Xenopus tropicalis: one gene and its partners. The protein of the gene in region 1 interacts with the protein of each later gene in a pairwise test. Links are inferred from orthologs where the notes say so. Each region holds a gene or a part of one and is shown in the gene's direction. Other genes may lie near its edges.

What was found.
Region 2: the proteins of rfx6 (region 1) and ss18l1 interact in binary tests that used the Homo sapiens proteins (3 or more experiments, as listed by UniProt). The two-hybrid records come from large-scale screens. The link is inferred for Xenopus tropicalis from reciprocal best matches to the Homo sapiens genes RFX6 and SS18L1.
Region 3: the proteins of rfx6 (region 1) and frs3 interact in binary tests that used the Homo sapiens proteins (3 or more experiments, as listed by UniProt). The two-hybrid records come from large-scale screens. The link is inferred for Xenopus tropicalis from reciprocal best matches to the Homo sapiens genes RFX6 and FRS3.

What each region holds. Positions count from the first base shown.
Region 1 is NC_030681.2:74,668,416-74,671,985, reverse strand, and holds part of rfx6 (DNA-binding protein RFX6), read left to right. Parts: intron 1-3,081; coding exon 3,082-3,205; intron 3,206-3,570. UniProt on the Homo sapiens protein: Transcription factor required to direct islet cell differentiation during endocrine pancreas development. Specifically required for the differentiation of 4 of the 5 islet cell types and for the production of insulin.
Region 2 is NC_030686.2:4,413,847-4,417,870, forward strand, and holds the start of ss18l1 (calcium-responsive transactivator), read left to right. Parts: upstream 1-1,224; 5' UTR 1,225-1,262; coding exon 1,263-1,331; intron 1,332-2,551; coding exon 2,552-2,628; intron 2,629-4,024. Other genes in the region: psma7 (proteasome subunit alpha type-7), read right to left, coding at 667-762. UniProt on the Homo sapiens protein: Transcriptional activator which is required for calcium-dependent dendritic growth and branching in cortical neurons. Recruits CREB-binding protein (CREBBP) to nuclear bodies.
Region 3 is NC_030678.2:70,887,058-70,891,069, forward strand, and holds the start of frs3 (fibroblast growth factor receptor substrate 3), read left to right. Parts: upstream 1-1,212; 5' UTR 1,213-1,285; exon of another isoform or gene 1,286-1,313; intron 1,314-2,511; 5' UTR 2,512-2,655; intron 2,656-4,012. UniProt on the Homo sapiens protein: Adapter protein that links FGF and NGF receptors to downstream signaling pathways. Involved in the activation of MAP kinases. Down-regulates ERK2 signaling by interfering with the phosphorylation and nuclear translocation of ERK2.

The sequences.
Region 1 (3,570 bases):
ACATTTTGGAGGGCATATAGGCACTATCACCCTAACTGGACAGTCACCTCCAGTCACCTCCAGTCTCCACTGGGAAAGCCTGCCCCACAGTTGTGAACCTTTGCCTTACTGATTCGATTAACAGGGTTTGTGGCTCTATTTTTAATTGGGATTTGTATGTAAAATGCTGCTGTGTAATGTAGGAACAATGCATTCATGATGCTAGTTAATCCTAATACTACTATTATCAAAATCACCCTTGATAAGTCAAGACCTACATAGTAGTCCCTGGTCCTGTAACCCAGAGCAAAAATAAAAATAACATGTGCAGTACTCCTGTGCAGTTGTTCAGAACAGGGACATTTTCAGGCATAAAGAAAATTCATCTGCAGAGTTTAAAACCAGAGATTGTCAGTGGAAAGAAAGGACACTTGGCATACAAGGTATCATGAAAGTCATGTGGTCCAAGTTTAGAAGTGAAATCATAAAAAAATCTTTAAATATTGCATTAGGCTTTAAAAAGCAAAACTAACTGACATTCTTAGTTCAAAATACAGAAACATTTTTATAAGGGAGATTAGATTATGGGGGGTGGGTTTAATGTTTAAGGCCCAAAAATCAACATTAACATCAACAAGAAAATAGTATATGCAGTATTGTAGATTATTGCATAGACACAACTACTGTAATCCTGGGTTTATTTCAAACAGCACCAAGCACATATGTAATCCCTGTCTAGGTTGAAGAACAGGAAAAATAGCAAATAATATTTTTATATTATATTTCTTTTCGAGAGCTCACAGATATTAGGAATATAAAAGGGCTCAGTATCAATGAAAAATGTCCAAAGCCATTCCTTGCACTACCATATTGTTGCTCTGGGTATCACTGCCTTTGCACTGTCTTCTGCTACAAAGGAAGTGCATCTATTGCTGCAGGGGAGCCCTGGTAGCCCCAGTATCCTCATGGTAGGCCTGTATCAATAGACACACCAAACTTACTCCTAAAGAATCATGTACACTTGTATTTTAATGCATTTAATGTTAGGCACATCACCCCCTTGCTGATGTGATTATGCTGGCATTAAAGGACAAACCCCACACACAAAAATTTAATCAGTGAAAGGCCTCTTCAAATGTTTCAATACCTGCCACTCTGGTTGTCCAGAGGTTAATAGTAAGGCTGCAACATCCCCTTTAATCACTTTGATGTCCTTCTCCTCCTGTAGCCCACTCGGCCCGCTCCCTTGGGAATTAGCTTTGACTTCTGGCTTGTGGGCATGCTCAGTTGTTCTAATCTCAGAGTACTAAACGTGTCCTCCAGTCTAGCAGCCAATGAAGAGATGGCATTTTTGGTTCCCATAGAAATTAGGCTCTAGCTGTCTGCTTCAATTTTTTTCTCCTAACTTTCTCTCCTGAGCTCAGCTCAAACAAAGCAAAACTTTTATCAAAGACAGTTCTGCCTATGTCAGCCTGTATTCTTGATGAAATGTATGCTGAATAAGGGTCTGTGTGTGTGTATGCTGTTTGCAGATTTAAATGTATCTGAGGAAAAACGGCCACCAGGTGAAAGCTGCTATTTGCTTTAGGGAAATGTGATGGTGCTGGCAAACGGAGGGGATATATGCAGTACACATGATGCCATTTGGGTGGGGGAGATGTGCCCAACTGATACACATTGTAGGCAAATGAAGGCTTTACATGTCCTTTAAGGAGAAAAAATGCTGAGTAAAAATCATGGCACACTTTGCACATTACACTAGCAGTAAGTAAACAATCGCTATGTAGTTGAGAAGTTAAAAATATTGCTATACAATCTTTGTTTTCAGAACAATTATATTAAACAAATAATGTGTGTTTACACATTGATGCTATCTTCCAATTGGTTATCTGCCTTCCTAAACACAGGACTGTGGGACAATAGGATCTCTGTAGAGCAACATATACAGTATCTTAGTTTTTATGACAATGCAATGTAAATCATATGTGAATGATGATATCATTATTAAATACAGGAGATGATAAAAACTTTTCAGATTTGTAAACAACTACAGTAATAAAGTGTTTCTTATCAGTATAAGTGATTACACATCCATGACATTTTCTCTATGCAATATGTAACAGAGGGCCATAGCGTAAATATTGTAATCATAAGCCACAGCACAGCTAATAATGAATAACATTTCCAAGGAATTCTTTTTGTAATAGAACAGTCGAGTCACCAAGATAAAGGGCATTACTAAAGCCATTAACCATAGTGATACTGAATAGCTAACTGGATATGCTAACGGGTTTCTATGGGTACATTTCTGCCCTCCTGCACCTTAGATAAAATTATTTAGGAAAAAATTTAAATAAAATAAAAAAAATAAAAATAAAAAAGAATCATAAATTAATTTCATTAAATGTTATTCTACTTCTTTCTTAACATCTTGGTGCCCATTATGTAATGTTATATAATAACATTTTTAAAAGAAGCCGGGTTCCACTGAATCCAGGATTTGGCTGAATTAGAGCACTTTTTGTGGGATTCAGATCTGGCAGAATCCAGAGTGACTGGCTGACCCATATCTAAACGCAAATTGGCATGTATAAGCACTGGACAAAAGAAGGCGACAGTTTTTGTAGATGCATTTTTAGTGTTAGGTTTTGAATTTGCAAGAATTTTTTGGTCAGTGCTTAAATGAAGTGCATATTTTTAAGCAGCATGCCTAAAATTTGCAAAAGCACATGCAGTATAAATATTGTATTTTATCAGCCTAATATTCTAGGGCTTTATTGTAATTAATTCAAATGCAGTCAGTGCAGCCCAGCAACTTGAATTAATTAGCAGTTTCCCTGATTTTAAACATGATTTGGTTACCTTAGCAAATTAAGCTATATCAAATGAACCAGTGTTGGATTCAATAAAAATCATTATGGCACATTGCTCCACACGCAGGGTTTCTGTCCGAATAAAAGAACTATCAGTCCTGGTGCCTTATTATGTTGAAAAAAGTGCCTGAAGCTATTAAATGCTTGAAAGTTAATGTTATTGACTCAGGGGTTTGTATGTGAAAAAGAAATTGATATTAGCTATCCATCTTAATTTCTTTAATTGCAGGCTTGAGGAGAACTATATTGTATGTGAGGGAGTTTGCCTGCCTCGATGCATACTGTATGCCCACTATTTGGACTTCTGCAGGAAGGAGAAACTAGAGCCAGCTTGTGCAGCAACATTTGGAAAGGTATAATACTGCTCAATGGAAAGGTATAATACTGCTCAATGGAAAGGTATAATACTGCTCAATAGAAAGGTATAATACTGCTCAATGGAAAGGTATAATACTGCTCAATGGAAAGGTATAATACTGCTCAATAGAAAGGTATAATACTGCTCAATGGAAAGGTATAATACTGCTCAATGGAAAGGTATAATACTGCTCAATGGAAAGGTATAATACTGCTCAATGGAAAGGTATAATACTGCTCAATGGAAAGGTATAATACTGCTCAATAGAAAGGTATAATACTGCTCAATGGAAAGGTATAATACTGCTCAATGGAAAGGTATAATACTGCTCAATGGAAAGGTATAATACTGCTCAATGGA
Region 2 (4,024 bases), on another chromosome or scaffold:
ATCTCTCCCCCTATGTATGGGGGCCTTCCATTCTATCATCTCTCCCCCTATCTATGGGGGCCTTCCATTCTATCATCTCTCCCCCTATGTATGGGGGCCTTCCATTCTATCATCTCTCCCCCTATGTATGGGGGCCTTCCATTCTATCATCTCTCCCCCTATCTATGGGGGCCTTCCATTCTATCAGATCTCCCCCTATCTATGGGGGCCTTCCATTCTATCATCTCTCCCCCTATCTATGGGGGCCTTCCATTCTATCATCTCTCCCCCTATGTATGGGGGCCTTCCATTCTATCATCTCTCCCCCTATGTATGGGGGCCTTCCATTCTATCATCTCTCCCCCTATGTATGGGGGCCTTCCATTCTATCATCTCTCCCCCTATCTATGGGGGCCTTCCATTCTATCATCTCTCCCCCTATCTATGGGGGCCTTCCACACACTGGTACCCCCCCTGCCTGCCTGGTCTCTCCCGTTCCCTCTCCCCAGTGGGTTTGCTACTATTCCATGTAACCCGGGGGGGGGGGTCCCACTCTTTCCCTGTCTCCCCCTGCCTGGGGGGGGGGGCTACTTGCTTCCATCGCACTGGGCCCCTGAATGGCCCCTGAATGGCCTCCTCCATTCCCTCTCCCTGTCCGGCCATGGGGCCACCTCCCTCAGTACTCACGGCTGTGGATCCTTTCTTGACGGCCTCCTGCGCATATTCCACCTGGAAGAGGTGCCCATCCGGGGAGAAGACAGTGATCGCCCGATCGTAACTCATGTTGGCTCCGAGGACAATCCGCTCACAAACCGAAACCTGCTCAAAACAGCGCACTCATCCCTCTCCTATTCACTAACCTCACTTCCGTTCTGCGCAGGAGCCGCCTCCCCTGCTAACCACACTGTCTACGCTACGCAAACTGCGTAAGCTTAACTCCTCCCCCGGGATTCTGCCTTACCCGGCTCATGAGACAGGAAACCCGGCTAGTGGATCCAACCATTCTAGTGGGGGGGTGGGAACCTCATCAAAGCGCTCATTTCTCAATTGTGTCAAACTGTTCCATCATCGAATCGATTTTATGAAACATGATAGATGTAGCTGTGTAGCAATAAACGTATTCTTTAAAGTGACAAGCAAACGATGTGTAAATGGGTTATTCCATTGACAAGCACTCCCCCCCCAGTCTGCTGCAGAGAATGACAAACCTTTGCCTAGTAATAGGCAGCTGATAATAAGAATATTCTGTAATAATTTATCCACTGAGGAGCACAGGGGCCATCATGTCTGTGGCCTTTGCATCAGCCAGACCCAGAGGCAAGGGAGAGATCACCCAGCAAACTATTCAGAAGGTACTGATCTGCATGGGGAAGGGGGGCTGGGGGCACCTGGGTTTATTATAAGGGGAGGTGGGAATTAAATATAGCCCATGTGTCATACATAATGCAGAGGGCAGAAAATGGGCAACAAGGATCCCCTGTGGGAGGGGCAAGAGAATTTACAGTCTGAGCAAATATGCACCTCATTCATCTCTATATATATATATCAGAATATTTAGTCTCCATGGCAGCACCATGCTTGGAATGTAAATGTCCTTAGAGATGCCATTTCTTAGAATGATAACAAGGGCAGATGCATCCTGGGGGGGTCCCTCCATCATTACCCCCATAGGGAGAAGTAGTAGCAACTGGCACACACTGTGTATCATATAAATATATATATATATACATAGTATTGTCTTTTACCCACCTAAATCTTCCTCCCCCCCCCCCAGTTCCGCTCTGATCTCCACTGATGCTGAGAGTCACTAAGCACAATCCTTAGAGAGGGATTAATGCAGTGACGGCCAGGACAGTTATGTAGTAGCTGAGGCTGAAGAAAGACCTGCATCCATTCAGCTAAAGCTCCCTAGCTGGCAGGCGATGCAGAGAAAGGGCAATCTGTCGCCTCCTTGCCCCTGAATAGAGGGGTATTCACAGGGGTGTAACAGGGGAGTCTGTAGCTGCTGGGTGGGCTCTGACTTTCTGTGAAGTTATACAATGTATCCGCCGGTACAACTGCTATAGAGACAAAATCCCACAACTTCACTGAATTTAAAGAAAACATTTTTTTGTAATTAGAGATATTATTGTGTGCTGTGGAAGGATATATGGTCCCCTGACCCCCCCTCAGATATTTATACCCACCGTATACCCACCGTATACCCACTGTATACCCAGCCGTATGACCCAACTTGGGTTTACTATTTTGTGCCGTCCTATTTAGTCACACTCCATCTTGCAGTTGACTCCTGGCTGCAAAAAGCAGATTCATTTTGAGATTACATGTATCTCCTATTCATCTTCCAGCCTACCTGGTTGCTAGGGTAAGCAAGTCCTTAGCAACCAGATCCCAGTTTGAATTCTTGTGTGAGAATGCACAAGACAGGGGTGCTGGGAGTTGTAGTTTTACAGTTGCTAGATTGGCAGATCCTATGCGCCAGGATCACTATATTGGAGGGGGAGGGGCTCAGATTTGTAGGGGATGCTCTCGGACTTACCCCTTTTTTTAATGAGGTTTCTGTGTTTAATAGATGCTGGATGAAAACCATCACCTGATACAGTGTATCATGGATTATCAGAGCAAGGGCAAGACTGCTGAGTGTACACAGTAAGTAGCAAAGTGTGAGTGTACTCAGGAGAGTGCAGACTGATTGTACTCAGTAGGAGAGTGCAGACTATGAGTGTACTCAGTAGGAGAGTGAGACTGAGTGTACTCAGTAGGAGAGTGCAGACTGTGAGTGTACTCAGTAGGAGAGTGAGACTGAGTGTACTCAGTAGGAGAGTGAGGCTGAGTGTACTCAGTAGGAGAGTGAGACTGAGTGTACTCAGTAGGAGAGTGCAAACTATGAGTGTACTCAGTAGGAGAGTGAGGCTGAGTGTACTCAGTAGGAGAGTGAGACTGAGTGTACTCAGTAGGAGAGTGAGACTGAGTGTACTCAGTAGGAGAGTGAGACTGAGTGTACTCAGTAGGAGAGTGAGACTGAGTATACTCAGTAGGAGAGTGAGACTGAGTGTACTCAGTAGGAGAGTGCAAACTATGAGTGTACTCAGTAGGAGAGTGAAACTGAGTGTACTCAGTAGGAGAGTGCAGACTATGAGTGTACTCAGTAGGAGAGTGAGACTGAGTGAACTCAGTAGGAGAGTGAGACTGAGTGTACTCAGTAGGAGAGTGAGGCTGAGTGTACTCAGTAGGAGAGTGAGACTGAGTGTACTCAGTAGGAGAGTGCAGACTATGAGTGTACTCAGTAGGAGAGTGAGACTGAGTGTACTCAGTAGGAGAGTGCAGACTATGAGTGTACTCAGTAGGAGAGTGAGACTGAGTGTACTCAGTAGGAGAGTGCAGACTATGAGTGTACTCAGTAGGAGAGTGAGACTGAGTGTACTCAGTAGGAGAGTGAGACTGAGTGTACTCAGTAGGAGAGTGAGGCTGAGTGTACTCAGTAGGAGAGTGAGACTGAGTATACTCAGTAGGAGAGTGAGACTGAGTGTACTCAGTAGGAGAGTGCAAACTATGAGTGTACTCAGTAGGAGAGTGAGGCTGAGTGTACTCAGTAGGAGAGTGAGACTGAGTATACTCAGTAGGAGAGTGAGACTGAGTGTACTCAGTAGGAGAGTGCAAACTATGAGTGTACTCAGTAGGAGAGTGAAACTGAGTGTACTCGGTAGGAGAATGAGACTGTGTGTACTCAGTAGGAGAGTGCAGACTATGAGTGTACTCAGTAGGAGAGTGAGGCTGAGTGTACTCAGTAGGAGAGTGTAGACTGTGTGTACTCAGTAGGAGAGTGTAGACTGTGTGTACTCAGTAGGAGAGTGAGACTGAGTGTACTCAGTAGGAGAGTGAGGCTGAGTGTACTCAGTAGGAGAGTGAGACTGAGTGTACTCAGTAGGAGAGTGCAGACTATGAGTGTACTCAGTAGGAGAGTGAGACTAAGTGTACTCAGTAGGAGAGTGTAGACTGTGTGTACTCAGTAGGAGAGTGAGATTGAGTGTACTCAGTAGGAGAG
Region 3 (4,012 bases), on another chromosome or scaffold:
CACTTAAATGGGAGTTCCCTGCAATTCAGGTTACAGCCACAGGGTGGTGTGTAAACATATAAAAGTGGATAGCTCCCATGCTTAGCAGGTTTTGCAGCCTGGGACCTCCCTCTGGACAGAGGTGTGCAACAGGCCTGGCTAGTAGGTAGCAAGTTCCTATAATAGGTTGCTCTAGGAGTGACATGTAGGCAATTAAGTTAGAAAGGGCAGATATTGCCCCTCCAGGAGTGATAAAGGGGTTAAGATCCCCCAGCAATCCATCAGCTGGAGATCAGGGCCCAAAGGTCTACTCAGGTGGATTAAGCCAATACTAGAGGGAGATTCCTAATCTGAGGGTGCTCAGGCAAGAGTACCGGGGTGAGTCCCTGAGGTGGGTTAGCCTGGCGTGAGTACCGGGGAGAGCCCCAAGAAAGGGTCTTCCGGTGAGAGTACTGGGGGGAGCACCTAGATAGGATCACTTGGCGGGAGTACCATGGGTAGCCCAACAGGAGAGAGGTTCTCTAAAAGTGAATTTAAGGAGACGGTGCCCTGATGCATGTATTCCACTCCTGGAGAGGTCTGCCCTTAATAAAGAGATTCATCTGGTTCACTATATCCACTTGTGTTTGGTTCTTTCCTACCAAGGGATCACCTACTGGCCGCTAAGCAAATACCCCAAGGGAGGGGCAAGGTGCCGGGAGTTGTGTGCAGTCCCAGTCAAGGAGTAACGTGTAATATCAAGTTCCCAGGGTGGGAGTTCCAGTCCCACAATAGTAAGCGGGGGCTCAGGACTCCTGTAGCACCAAAGTAATAGCCAGTAGAAGCACTGCCAGCAAAAGTGGGCTACATATATATATATATATATATATATATATATGTATCTATCATCTATCTATATTTCTAATAACCTCTGCATCCGGCACCGATGTCCGTTATCTATATATAAGTAACTTCTGCTCTTTTTTTTTTTTTATTATTGAAACTTCTGCTCTTAGGACATTTACTGTCTACCGTGTCCTGTACATACTGCATTATCTTTCAAAACGCTCCCAATTTATCAAGCACCGATATTCGTTACGCCCCAAAGGCGGCGCTCATATATACGTGTGTGTGTATATGTGTGTGTGTGTGTGTGTGGTCGAGACGTCACTATCTCGCGAGATGAAGTATGTGACGTCGGGATTAGCTGTCCGGCAGGAGCCAAGGAGCTGGATAATAACGGCGTTGCGGGACGTTTAAGCAGCGATCCGGGACTGCGGGCTGTGTTAAGAAAATCGAGACTATTTCGGGAAGAGCGTGTTGGGCGGTATGGGTGATCCAAATGCCACTACTGGGTAATGGTGACAGACTGTAGCCAGAATATGAGGACCAGCGGGTGGAAAACATAAAGGATAACACATTAAAATAAAAGGGCAAGACATCTAAATACAACCAAATCCAAATAAGTGGGCCGTGTACTGTATATGTGTTGTGCACTATTTTTAAATTAAAAAAAAAAATGTATATTGTATTTTTTCCTGTTATAAAGGCCTTATCATTATGGATTCATTTAACCCTTACTCTGCCTCCCCCCTCTCCGTCCAATTACTAGTGTTATGTTAAAGAGGGCTCATCACAGTGGGGTAAAGTGCAAAATACAGGTATGTGCTTTTTGCAACAATGCACTTTGTGCCTGCTTTTTTTGCACCTGACAATGACAGGCACATTTTGTGCCCAAGACGTTAAAGGCAGCTTATGAGTGGAATGAGGATGTTCTATTTTTGATGCTGCTTAACTTGACATCATATCCAACATTCATTGTAAATGCAAGGTGCATCTAGATCCCTGTATTTACTGCAAGTCCAAGGCATTGGCACACAGAAGGTGCAACCAGCCCAGGAGCTCTGCAGGTGCACTAAACTCAGGCATTTTATGTATTGCATTGAATAATGCTGGTAATGCTTGACACTGTTATAGTTGATGATACCTGTGCATAAAGTTTTTGTACCTTTTCTTCTCCTTTAAGATAATTATCACTTTGGGGGATGGCAACTTTTAGGCACACCCCCAGTGATTGTAATTACTTACTTTATACCCTGGGCCAATGCCCCTGTTAGCACAAAATTACACAGCCTGGGGTACATGAGAGTGAACAATCCTTTTCCACCTTCTTTATTGCTGTGGGTGTGCATGAGCTGTAGAAAAAAAAAGCCAAACTTTAACCAAAAGTTTTTTACTCTGCTGCGCATGCGTCGGCCGCAGGATTTTGAAAATATAAGGGAAAAAGAGGATCGCTCTGCTTAATATTTTGCACCCCCCAGTAATTGTAACTTTTTAGTACCTTTTCTTTCTCCCTTAAATATGAGGAGTTATAGAGGAAATTTAATAGAGGGAGATCTATTTTGTTTAACAGCTCATAGTAAAAAGCCTTTGTATACTTTAGTCCTAACCTACATAGTGTTATATTTGGGAAACTATGTAATACTACACTGTAAATGTAAACATTTAATAAATGCATAAAATCAGTGCTGTTATGTTTTTCCTTTTATGTAGGTGACACAAAGGGTGACAGATGCCATGGCACTTCTATTATCACTGGCACTGAGAAAACCAACAAAGAACAGGATGTGGGAGCAAAGTAGGGCAGGTAGCCCATAAAATTTACGCATCTGGTTTGTCATCCATGGCTAGCTCAAGGTAATACAATTCTAAACCAAGGGGAATTGGAAGATTGAAATTCATAATAAAATATGCATGCTCTGATGGTAGTAGTTAGTCCTACCCTTTGTGTGACAGACCCTTCATTTTCGTGATGAAAATGCCTTATGAATATAAAGCTTTGGTTTCTTCCCCACAAGAATAAGCTTTACTGAGGTTTTAGGCTAGTGTCAGACAAAGTGTCTGTATTAATATATTGTTTTAATGTACAGTACTATGCAGTGCTATGTAAATACCAATACGCATACTTTTTTGTATTTTGTACTGGCAGATACATTAAATAGCTTCAAGAAGGCATTGGATCTATGGTTCTGCGAGTGAGAAAATACAAGGTTGCTGAAATTAGCTCATAGCACAAATTTTCCCCCCTTTGAGGCAAATTGGTGAGGCTTCTGGTGGGGGTTTTAGCCTTTCTCTGGGTCAACAAGCAGTTTCATTCCCTAAACTTTATCTCAAGAAAGTTATGCATGCATAGTCATATCTTCCTCCAGTTTCTGGTTAATCCTTTCCATAGCCTACCTGTTTTTTGATATTGTTGCATAATGGGCTTTTCTCTAAGCTAAAACAGAGGGCGAAGGGAGGGGGGTTGTATAATGGTATTATGATTATCTTCCCCACAAAGACCAAACATTGAGTAGTTTGTTTCCGTGTTTGCCCTATTTAACTCAAGAATTAACAAAACCTATAGTGTGATGAGAAGAATAGGCAAAAAAGTATGTTCAGCACAAACCTCATTTATTGAACTCATATTGAAAAAGGAGCTATACTTCCTCTTAGAATGTTAACTACCCCATTACATTTCAGCTACCTGTTTGATGGTTGTGCCCGAATACTTCAAGTGGTGAAGTCAATAGGTAGTAGGAAGGTCAACTAGAAGTCACTGGTAGTGGAATATTCCAGACTTGTACAATTTTGAACAACCCATTCATTTGGTGGTACACTATTGAGCATAGGTATCTAGACTCCCCTTTTAAAATTGTCACTATATGCAAATTAGCAAAATAAATATTTGTCAGGATTACTTTTATTGGCAAGCTGATCAATGTAAACCTAATATCATTATGGTAATGACAGGCATGAACTGGAGTTCTACTAGGCAAAGCAAAGTTCATACAAAATTGGATTTTGGGATGGGATTGGAATAATTTGACTGGCTTGCCTGGAGCCATGACCTCAACCTTACTGAACAACTCTGAGATTATGTCATCCGTTTTGGTCACCGTGTTTATATAGCTGACCTTGATTTTGTTAGCACTGTGTTGCATCTAAAACAGTGCATGATACTCACTATAAAGCATACAAGTAAGTGGATAATGTATCTATTTGTAAAATGTCT